2 linked regions of the Neodiprion lecontei genome follow. Each later gene encodes a partner of the first gene's protein in a complex. Links are inferred from orthologs where the notes say so. Each region holds a gene or a part of one and is shown in the gene's direction. Other genes may lie near its edges.

The links. Proteins that work in one complex are often made in the same cells at the same time.
Region 2: the proteins of ribonuclease H2 subunit B (region 1) and ribonuclease H2 subunit A are in contact, whole or in part, in a crystal structure (PDB 3PUF), measured with the Homo sapiens proteins. The link is inferred for Neodiprion lecontei from reciprocal best matches to the Homo sapiens genes RNASEH2B and RNASEH2A. Residues at the interface, in NP_078846.2 of Homo sapiens: His16, Phe18, Lys39, Asn42, Gly48, Ala49, Ile50, Val63, Lys64, Val65, Phe66, Lys67, His70, Phe74, Val79, His86, Phe87, Val183, Tyr211, Gly214, Leu215, Asp218, Tyr219; in NP_006388.2 of Homo sapiens: Val227, Phe228, Ile253, Trp254, Glu255, Ser284, His285, Tyr287, Phe288, Arg291, Gly292, Leu293, Glu294, Ser295, Ala296, Thr297, Ser298, Leu299.

Annotation. Positions count from the first base shown.
Region 1 is NC_060263.1:25,725,120-25,732,691, forward strand, and holds ribonuclease H2 subunit B, read left to right. Parts: upstream 1-1,872; 5' UTR 1,873-2,049; coding exon 2,050-2,137; intron 2,138-2,627; coding exon 2,628-2,866; intron 2,867-2,991; coding exon 2,992-3,277; intron 3,278-3,416; coding exon 3,417-3,637; intron 3,638-3,711; coding exon of another isoform or gene 3,712-3,726; exon of another isoform or gene 3,727-3,801; coding exon 3,802-3,884; intron 3,885-5,233; coding exon 5,234-5,249; coding exon of another isoform or gene 5,250-5,329; 3' UTR 5,330-7,072; downstream 7,073-7,572. Other genes in the region: replication factor C subunit 4, read right to left, coding at 1-4, 853-965; bystin, read right to left, coding at 7,441-7,572. UniProt on the Homo sapiens protein: Non catalytic subunit of RNase H2, an endonuclease that specifically degrades the RNA of RNA:DNA hybrids. Participates in DNA replication, possibly by mediating the removal of lagging-strand Okazaki fragment RNA primers during DNA replication.
Region 2 is NC_060263.1:39,232,587-39,236,847, reverse strand, and holds ribonuclease H2 subunit A, read left to right. Parts: upstream 1-1,622; 5' UTR 1,623-2,044; coding exon 2,045-2,194; intron 2,195-2,509; coding exon 2,510-3,355; 3' UTR 3,356-3,750; downstream 3,751-4,261. Other genes in the region: ubiquitin-like protein 4A, read right to left, coding at 330-619, 753-858, 1,187-1,234. UniProt on the Homo sapiens protein: Catalytic subunit of RNase HII, an endonuclease that specifically degrades the RNA of RNA:DNA hybrids. Participates in DNA replication, possibly by mediating the removal of lagging-strand Okazaki fragment RNA primers during DNA replication.

The DNA of each region.
Region 1 (7,572 bases):
TCTACTGTGGAATTGAGAAAAATGTGCTTAACGTGTCATAATGGAATTGTGACATTGGTCTACACTTTGAACCGCGGCATATTTAGAAACAATTATTTCAACCAATTGTGGCAGTCAAATTTGATAATTTAAGTATACAGCTAAAGTATTTACAGAGGTTCTTACAGTCAGGTCTCTTTTAGTGGGTAATTTATTATGGCGCAATATCTAAATTAAGCATTTCATGCCAACTGAATGAACGTCTAACCCTTATCATATTGACTTTTGAACACTACACATAATTTCACCATTTGACACTCTCAAAAAAAAAATGAAAAGATTTAATAGATAAAGATAAAAGGTACTCAACATCAGTGCAGAAGCCAGATTTCAATCAAGCTGGTTCGATGAAAAATTCAAGTAAATATGATGTAGCTCTTTCAATTTTCCTTGCAAATTATTATGAAACTACATAATTAACCTCAATTTTGGTTTGCAAGATTGAAGAAATTCAAAACTTTCTATGATCCAATGTTTTAACATAATCAAGAATCAGCATAATATGTACCGCAGAGGACTTATATTCAAGAGAAGTTTGAAATATCTATGTATTATAATTATCTAACCAAACTGCTTCAGAAGCAAGTCTCCTCACGAAACTACGTGCTGAAGATTGGGATTTCAGACGTTTTTCTAGTATATTTGTTCAGTAACCAATCCTGAAATTTTTTGCATACGAAGTTGAAAAGTTCAAGTGCAACTCATTCAATAATAACACAGATATCACGTCGTGAAAGAACTCCTTTCAAAATATTTTTTTCGTACTCGACAAATACTCATTACCACGAATAAATAATATTACTTTAGACATACTATTTTTCAACCCATGGTGGTGAAGGTCCTTTACGCTTATCCTTTGAACTCGAACTTGAAGTAGGCTTTCTGTCACTGGGGCCGAGTTTACCTCTTTTCAAAAAACCATGCATTGTGTTCAAAATTATATCGCTTGAACGTTGAATGATAGAAAACCGGCCAATGTATTAACTTCGCGCGTTCATACGTCAGTAAAAAAATTCACGGCATGCGCAAGATACGTTTTCCTATATTCATGATACTCGTGAGCATAGACTACAGGAATAACTAAAAACTGCCATAAGCAAAGGGATATCAAAGGGATATTACAAATAGAGACGCCAAGATGCGGCGATCAGCACAAGTAGAAAGTCGTGCTTGAGTCCCTATACAACAGGTCGTGCGAAGAGAAATAGTGAAAATCGATCAATTTTTATTTGCATACACACAAAACTGCTGACATTAATGTTACAATTTTTCATTAATAATTTTCCTCAATTTTATATATTGTTGTCAAATTTGGCTATTAACCCTAGAGGGATAAGATAATTTTTTTTTATGTACCTCGTTAAGTAAAAAAATGTCCCAATCTTGTAAATTCCATCTTTCTGGTACAACATATCGTTAAGGGTCCTATAAGGTCTCATTTTTTACAATTTTTAATAAAGAATCACGTAGGCCAAAAAAATTTTCGCTCAAGTTCCAAAAAAGTCCTCAAAATTGGTAACCGAAACACGAAAACGTTAGCCGTTCTTTTGCGGTGAGAAATTTACATTTGCGCGACGTGCCCCCCCCCCTCCCCCCCCCCCCGCCCCCGTTTCCGGTAAAGCAAATACTAGAGAGTTTAATTTTCCAACAAACAACATGCAATACATAACTAAATTAAGCAAATATGATAGGACGACTGAGTCATGAGATTCAATCAATCCAGCACTGGATGGCCTCTCGCATTTTCATATTTTCGGTACTAGAGGGCATTGCATGTGGTGTTCCGTCGAGTTATAGGAGATATTTTGTATGTTATGTTATGTTTTATACCTTGGCTGCACTTAGCAGTGAAAATGGTATTGCCGAACCTGCGGACAGGCCGACGGCCGGGTACTGGGTAGTTGTTAAAAATGGCCGACTTCTGAACTTTATTCCTGTATGTCTCCCCCATTACATTAAATAAAAATCAGCATTAATTATCAATTTTGTCAATTGACAACGTTGAGTAACATGCCGCGTGTCAAAGCCTCGCCGAAAAAATGCGTCAAAACGTCCAATACGCACCCGGCAGCCAACACTTGGGTGTTCCTTATGAAAGGTAAATAAAAAAAAAAGAGAATAAATAAATCAAACAACTGGCCAACTGTAGGGTAAAAATTAGCTGCAATCAATTTTTTCACCCGTTTCTTTTCCCAACACCATTATTCTCATGAATTTTTAGTCCTATGCTATTTCTTTTTATACCTGGATCAATACTATCATCGATCAAAGAACGATGCTGGTTGTTATTCTTTATGTAATTACAAAAGACTGCTACTGTCCTTCCACAATTGTTTGACCAGCATCAATTTACTGAACTTACACAAATTCCCTCCAGGAAAAATCTGAAATTACTTATTTTTTCAAATGTAAATGCCCTGTCGTCTAGTTTGTTATGTTTTGAAATGCAAATGAAAGTTCATAATTCGGCTAGAAAACTGGGGCATTGTATGAATTCGGTACCTACTAAAAAATTGTATGCATGAACATTTTACATTTTCCCAATTCATTTTGTTGTGTCACTCTATTTCATTGATTTGTTTTTTCAGGTGATGGCTTAGAGAATACCGACGGTAGTTCTCCGGATGTAGTTAAACTCAGACACCCAGCCTCCAACCAACCGGCTATGTTTGTATTCAGCCCAGGTGATACCACCGTTCAAGAAGTTTTAACCTTTGACGAGAATAAAAGATCATGGTTCATAGACGACAATGTCAAGTCAGATGGAAAGATGCATTTGTCGACGCCAATTGATCCAATATTCTTGGTTTTACCATATCTAAGGAAGGTAAGTGTTCATGCCAATCATTATTTCATAATTCAAGACTAAACTATGTGATTAATAGGAATAGGTGGAACCTTACGATGAAACTTCACATCACAAATTGATGTACAATTTATATTTCATTTCAGTCACAACAAGTAATGCCTCTTGACCAAATTCTTCGTGATGAAGATTACCCAGGAACATCCCGCCTTGCACGATGTCAAAATCTAAAACTATCTTTGATCGCAGATCGTAAGGGGGACGAGGAACTGCAAGCTTTCAAGTTTAACGAAGACAAAGCAATGGTCTGGCTTCAAAAAAAAGTTGGGCGAGTCGCAGAAATACTTAGGCAGAAAGGTGTACACGTATCCCAAGGAGCTGTTAGTGCTACCTATGTTAAAAGCAACAAACACGAATCTGGCACAGAAGTTGGTGAGAATCTGGATAGGAATTCTCATTTTCTATTGATCAAATTATGGACTCGACATGCAATAACACATTTATATCCCGTGATATATAAATGTTTGATTTTACTAACTTAATCAATAATAACAGTCTCAATTTCTTTCAGAATATCTTAAGTATGCACATGGCATCGTTTCGGAATACCTTGCTGAAGACTTGTCTAAAAAACTAGCCCAACACTTAAGTCTGCCCGATGATCCAGAAAATAAAAAACGAAAGTCAAACAGTCCAAAGGAAAGTAGCGACGATAAGAAAGCTAAAAAAGACACACCAGAGTCAGAGTCTATCCCAAGAAATGGAGCACTAGACTTAACAAAACCTGAAAAGGTATGTACGTATGCTAAATTATAGAAAATTTGAAAATCTCGGGGATTTGTTTTCATATGACAACTTTTTAATAGATCTCACAGAATTAGGTGAAAAATTCATTGTGCAAGCTTTCTAGACACTTTGTTCTTTGCATATAAAAATTTTATATGCATTTAAAACAGAGAAACCTTTTTTCCATTAAACGAAAATTGAAGCCAATACAACCAATTCAAAACTACAACGATGTGACGTCACCCGTGCTAAGGTAAATTTATATATTACAGAATCAGTGAAACTCAATTGCTTGTAACATCTGCAATCATCTTTTTTGACAAAAAACAAAAAATTCCACCATATTGTTTTACATTTCTCTGCTTTATATTCATCTAAAAAATGTATTTTCTTTTTTTCCATGCAAAGACCTAATTTTGTACGGCTTTCTAATGATATATCGGTTCATAGTTTATGATGTGACAAGCATGATGAACATTGCTGTCCCAGATTGAATATAAAATAAGTTTTCAATAAACCCAGAAAAAGTGACTTTTATAAGTGAAAATCATTCCTTGTTTGACAATTATTCTGAAGTATAAAGAACTGATTACAAACCCTGACAACATTTAGTTTTTGTAACCTCTCATGCAAAATTTATTTTGTAACTTAAAGACATAAGTGAGCGAACTTAGATTGTAGGGCTGCGGATCAGGTGGCAAATATCTTCGGATACACTAGCTGTGTAAAAAGTATCATGACATGATCATCAAGCAGTCGTTTGTATCATTAACGAAATTTATTTATTGATTTCTTAGACTCTAAACAGAGTTAACAATATCTATTTATGCATTGGAAAGGTTGCTTTAATTCAGGAAATTCTAACCAATTTGTTGAAACAGTATGAAAACTAGTTTTGTTCTCATTAGCTGGCTTGTTGGAAGACTTGCATCTGAGAACTCATAACTCGTCAAATCTTGTCTTCATTATGTTTCACTGAGGCGACTTGTTTCTTCAGGGGAGGGCATTATCTCACTCAACAATCGATGTTCATAATAAAACAGATTTCAATAACTTTCAGTATTTATCAAAGATATACATCTTGTATGACAGTAAAAAATTACATTTTCGTAATGAACCTTGAATGAAGAGCAGGAATATTCCAATCCTAAACCATATAAAATTATTTCATAACTGTCTTTATTTTGATAATCATAGCAAATGTTTTTCCTGTTTTCCCTGTACTCTGAATATACATATACTCGTTATAACAAAAAATATACATTTTATACCAGCAATTTAAAGTCAACTTTTCCTTCATTGAAATGCATTGCCAATTGAAATATTATACTTCCACATTAGTAAGCTCAATGGATAATAAATTGTGAACACTTACTGGTCAAATGCTTGATGAATTTCTAAAACAAACGTAGGCCTTAGCACTTGTGAAATAGGAATCAAACAAATGACTCGATCGGGTAGTCTTATATTAATTTTGGTTATGAAATATAGTTTCGCTATAAATTTACATGAAATGAGCTCACAGTGACAGTGAATTAAAATGTATCAGTTACCAGAGCTAAGTGTCAGATTATTTTAAAAATATCTTTTCAAATATTGTAGCCCCAAAAACCTCTGACCATTTCGAAGAAAGAGATGTCCAGACAGAAGGCAGCAGCTGGTTCAAAGAATATTTCGAGTTTTTTTAAGAAGAAATGAGCGGTGACCAAGTCAACGAAACAATCAATCGCCAGTTGGTTTTCCAAATTTATAAGAGATCTTCAAAATATTCTGAGAAGTCTCTGCGTTCCTATTGGTGTTAAACTTTAGATTTGAATTGGTAAAAATATCTGAAGGAAATTTGAAGGTTAAGCAATGTTCAATTATCTACTTACATTGTTGGAAAAATAGCCCAGAAAACCCCGCAATTGTTAATCTAGAATGGTAATCAATCATCACAATGGATTCATAATATATAATTTGATCTCACCTGTCAAACGTAATTCAAAATCTGCGTCAGTTAACTGTTGCTCAAAATATTTCAACGAAAATTAGTCATTTATTCCATTAAATGCATAAGTAAGATTTATTTTATATTAACACATTTCACGATTATCGAATTATATTTTATTATTACTCTTACATAGAGTTTGATTCCTTCGATTTTCTTTTCCTGATACAAAAGTATTCAACATTTGGGATGAATTTCGAATTAATTAAAAAGAAAAGATTCAAGACTTAGGGTGTTGATCTGCGAAGATTAATACATCAAGTGAAAAGTAAACACTCGACGTTTTTTGAAGACATTTATCCTGTACTGTTGCAATGTTTAACTTAGAATACGTTAGATATAAAATTCTAGTATTACGCATTTTACGCAATAAGGAGCTAACAAACGAATCCTACAATTGAAACTTGTGTAATACTTAAAATAGAAAAAGAAAAAAAGCGAGTGTTTTTTTGTCTCATATATTTTGTAATATTATAGCCTTTTCATTATTGGTTGGTTAGCTCCTTTTTGCTTCCTATAATATCCTTTATTTTAAAAGACTGTCCGAAAAAGCAATAATTTTTTTCGTAACCAATATTTAAAATTGTCAGAAAATTTCTTCCTCACTAATTGTAATTTTTCAAAGCCAAAGTTGCAAAAGTCATATTAGGGTAATATTGAAATGTTATAATAATCTAGAATATAGCATATTTTACGATTATCATGCAGTTCTATTGAAAAACTCGCAGCTATGTTACACGCAGGAAATCCAAATCAAGAATCGACTTTTGCTACTTTAAATTGAAGTCATTCATCTGGATATCTGAACTGTGTTATATCCAGTATTTATTGCATATTTTTATGATTTCTATTTGTGAATTCGTATCTAGAGTCATGCACTTCATTTTTATTTTCTCAAATACTTGAAAACAGCTACCTTCAATGCTAATTGTCATTTACTGTGGATTTGCATCCTATTAACAATGACATGTGTTTGAGTTCCACCTGATGCATGAAGGATATTAATGTAAATATATGATTGTTTTTAAATTATGTAAACGATATCTGATGGTTACTGTAATTTGAAACAGAAAACCGCTGACACTGAGGTACAGCATATTTGATATCTGTATATGTGGAGTCACATAAATTATCCCATGTGTTTAGTTTGAACAGTATACGAATATTTTGTACTTTATTTTATATATTGCGTCGAATCGACTTTCCCGTTTTGTCATTTTAATGAAAACTACAATTTTATATTTGTCGTACTTAATTAGTGATGAATATTATTGATGATTAGTTGGAGGTGTCGATTGTGATAGCTCTATGAAAAGTTTCGAATTAGAAGTATGTATGAGTCGAAAAGAGTGTATGAGGATAAGTGATAAGTATTTGTTTTTGTCCTGGCTGTACGATGAAATATTATGTCAATATTGTAGATGTAATATAATAATATACATTCAGAAACAGCTATGCTGTATCCCTATCTCTGTCCATGAAAAGCTCATTTACTTTCAAGAAGAACACGTCAAACATATAAAATATGGTTGAAATTATGACTGAATATCTTGTAATCTGACTAAAAAACACATAAAGAAACTTCAGTGACTTGACTCAAATTAATCGATACATTCTTGATCAACATGCACGGTTTTTATTTCATGTTAGATATTTTATTAAATATTTATTTAAATTAATCGACACATTCTTGATCAAGATACACGGTTTTTATTTTATGTTAGACATTTTATTAAATATTTACATGTTACAAACAATGAATTACAGGCGTAATTACTTTAATATCATCTCATCTTGAGCCAATTCCGAGAATAGCCTCTCATGTAATCGACATAGGTTCACTCTTCGGCTCTGTAGCTTCAATATCCCTGCATTTGGCATGTTGCAGTTCTCTCCGTACTTCACCAGTAATCGAGTGATGTGATTGTTTCTTCAATAATTCCAGCAGAGC
Region 2 (4,261 bases), about 14 Mb from region 1:
ATTCACGAATGGAATTTCGTTGAACATTGCTGTTAAATATTGTGCAAATCAATCGTCTCAGCCACTTGTGGGTTTGCCATTTTGTGAAATGAGAGGGAAATTAATGCGTAAAACGGACGAATGTATAGAAAATTTGTTGTAAATAATTAATTAAAAAAGAGTGCAAAGAATTAATTTGTAAAAGTGAGCAGTACAAGAAAACATCATTCACTTTTCAAAAAGCACGGAAAACCTTACAATTAAAAATTTTCTAGATGCAGAGTTTTATTAAAAATTAACAAACGAATGATTGAAGGTATTCTGCAGAAAAAAATCCAAGGAAAATTTCTTCAAGTGGTACTTTCTTGATCCTGAAGCAGAGCCGTTGCTAATCTTTCCAAGTCGTCATAGCTCAAGCCGTCTACTTTCTTTTTTAAGTCTTTCATAAACTCATTAATTATCGACTGTGTTTCAGATTCTGTATAATAATGCCTCAAGACTCTTGACATCTCGCTTCTGAATAATTGGATGCCAGTATCACCTTGAGCACTCTTACCCTCACTTTGAATTTGCTTCTTTACAAATAAATTTAACTTGCAACCGTCTTTTATCGTTGGATAAAAACTCAGAAGCTGGTCGTCTGAAACGACGAAATTTTTTAGGATCAACTTTAAAGATATTTTGAACCAAATTTGAAGCAATTTCTCGTTTATTACTAGAAACCATTTAAATTTAATGATTTTTGAGCAATGATAATTGCAGATTATTCGTACCTGCAAGGGCCTTTCCTGTATGAATCAACTTCTGATGCGGTACAGCGATTCCTAATGATTCACTAACTTTATGTTTCAACTCGAGGACTGTGTTTGACGGCAATATCTGAAACGATGGATGGTGAATTAATGACAAATTAACGGAATTGTTGGAATGCTGGAAATAACAAAAAAAAAATGTGAATAATTCGGAGAATGTTTAATAATGAATACCTTCCGTACGTCTGATTGATAAAAAAAAATGCTCCAAAGAAAGAGAGCATTAGTCTTTACCAATGTTCTCGAAACTTTTGCGGGGTGGTTTGGAACGTTGGGTGATGAAATCTGACTACGAATTTGTGATTGAAATGTGGCAAGGAAAATACAAAAGGTGAATACTCATAAAAACATGTCAATATTGACGATTTGACAATATAAAGACAACTCGTACTCACGTCAACTACACACTCTCTTCCCTGTAGAATTTTCACAACGATTTTCATGTTTGAATTAATTTAACACAGAACGGCGGGGGTAGAACTGTGTCAACGTTGACTCATCTTAATTTAAATATCCAATACCTCGCAATAATTAAACGATTAAAGCAATCTGTCCTACACCTAGGTTGGATTCCAGGTTAGATTCGTTAACGCAATTTTTTCTACTACTGCTGCTGCTGCTGACGACAGGTGAAGGCACAAAGCAACCCTCAATTTTTGTCCAATATTATCGCCATGAAGTATACGACGACTCAAGAACGCATACTCGCATAGAAATGTGGTATATATTGATGTATTTCGTTTATTCTGATGTCGCTTCGATGTCAAGACTGGTCTGAACCTTGCCGTTGACTGAGGAATATTTCAGTGAACGACCTTGCTATCAATCGTGCAGAATATGGCCGCCGCCTGTAACTTGCGGCCACCTGTTACTCTAGCCGTGTTCTAGCACTACTTCGGCGGAAAATTTATTGATCGTATCGTTTTAATCGAAAAATAATGTCATGAAAATAATTAATCAGCTTATATACGAACCCAAAACATTATTATCCATGCATACCTGAAACATTTGACTATCTAGCTCTAGCTATAATCTTAAGGCGCTGCTCGTGGTAGAAAGAGAAATTACTTCAGGCGCCGAATTTTGACGAACAAAAGGCTAGTTTATTTTCTTCAGAATTTAGTCTAGCCGCCCTCACTCCTGCGCGCCAAAAACTTACACGCGGTAAACAACTAGAGAAAAAAAGCTATTCTCTTGTTTTGGTTTCTCAATATTTTCACTTCAACATTCTTTATAATAAACTGCTGAAAATCATGAGTGAAGACGAACAGAAATCAGAATTTGCAGTGGAACCAAACGAAGCTGAATCAATAAACGGTGTCGATCACATCACGTCCAGAGCCGATTTGACACCGTATTTTGTAAACAGTGATCATAGTGTGAATAAAATACACGTTTCAAAGGTATTCTTTCTTTTAGTTTCTACAGAAATCATTCTCGGTCTCACCGATAGACGATCAAACGTCGCGGCTTTGAGGTTATAATTACAAAGTGGATCACGTTCAACGGTTTTCCAAACAAGAAATTGCCTATATTTAAAATTGAATTAACGTATTGTCACACGTAATAATCACGATACTATTTACTTATTGCACATCATGATGCTAAATTTTAATTTTGAAATTCTCTATTCGTATGGGACTACAACATTATGAAAAATATACAATAAGAAATACAAGGTCTGTGAATCAAATAAAGTTGAGTTTCACTCCTTTCAGGTGCCGCAAATTTGTCGCACAGAACCATGTCAGCTGGGAGTAGACGAGGCGGGTCGAGGTCCGGTTCTGGGTCCGATGGTTTACGGAATTTCGTACGCTCCGTTGAGCGAAAAGCAACTGCTGGTGGACTTGGGCTGTGCGGATTCGAAGACCCTGACTGAGGATCAAAGGGACGCAATTTTCGACAAGATATGTGAAAATGACGATAAAATGGGCTGGGCAGTAGAAGTAATATCACCCAATGTCATAGCGAACAGCATGTACAGGCGTAGCAAAGTTACGCTTAACGAGGTATCGATGAACTCTGCAATCGGATTGATCAGGAGGGCGATAGAGGCGGGAGTCAATCTTGCCGAGGTCTACGTTGACACTGTTGGAAAACCTGAAAAATATCAAGCAAAACTGAAGGAGATATTTCCCGAACTTAAAATAACCGTTGCAAAAAAGGCTGACTCCACTTATCCTATCGTTAGTGCGGCTAGTATCTGTGCCAAAGTATCCAGGGACCATGCGCTGAGAGCGTGGCAATTTAGGGAGGGTGAAAACGAGAACGAGTATGGTAGTGGGTACCCAAATGATCCTGTAACAAAAAAATGGCTCACTCAGAACATCGATCAAGTTTTTGGCTTCCCGCAATTAGTCAGGTTCAGTTGGTCGACAGCTGAGAAAATTCTTGAGTCAAGCGCTCTACCTGTTGATTGGGAAGAGGTCAACGACGAAGAATCTCCCCCGAATAATCAAAAGATATCTAAATTCTTTAGCAAAGTTGATACGCACAATAAAGTTAACAGGAAGAAACACACGTTCTTTGCAGACAGGTGCTTGACCAACGCGACTAGCCTCTGATTGTTAATATTGATTTTATTATATCGAAAAGAGGAAAATTTTATTATCGCATTTAAGTTTTAAATTGCTGATACAATTTCTTGAAGTATAAAAACGAAATCAAGATATTTTAAGTCGCAAGTCATAATAAGCGAACAATTGCAGGCAGATTGAATATCTTGTTCTCTACCTCGATTTTTAATTTGTTTTTTAAATGATAGATGAGTTCTGGCAGTTTTATTTTTAATGGTCGATTTCACCTACCCAAGCCCCAGAACACTTTTTTTCTTAAACTTATTTATTGTTATTTTCAGCATTATAGATTTCAAATACTATGAAATTCGAAAGTATTGTCTCACTATATTGTACTGCCTTTGAATTACAGTTAGAAAAATAAAGCATTATTTCTGATATTACTTCGATCAGTGTTTGACTTTTGGAAAATTTTAATACATTAGTGTATCATGGAAGTCCTCTTCACTCCTTTCACATGTTATTTCCTTTCTAATCCATTTAAGTTTAAGTTGAACGAATACTCATTTCATTAATTCTACAGAAATTAGCCGTACACCAAATTGCTGTTGATTTATCGATTATTTTTGATATAACACTTTTATTACGGAATATTAAATTAATTCAAATAATTTTAATTATATACATATTTACATTACATATGTAAGGTTAAGTATAAGTAGATGAAAGCATAAAATACACGTTATTATACTATTACACGAATATTTGAAGAACAGTCAGGAATGTCTAGCGAGAAATGTGATCTCTTACAGCTAATATAGACACATGCTAAATTCACACGTTTTTTTTCGTTTTCTTCTTTAGAATATCAATGTAATACAATATTATTTGATGATTACTAAATACCGACTAGATTAGTAAAGGCTATACAGAAGTTATTAAAAATCAAAATAT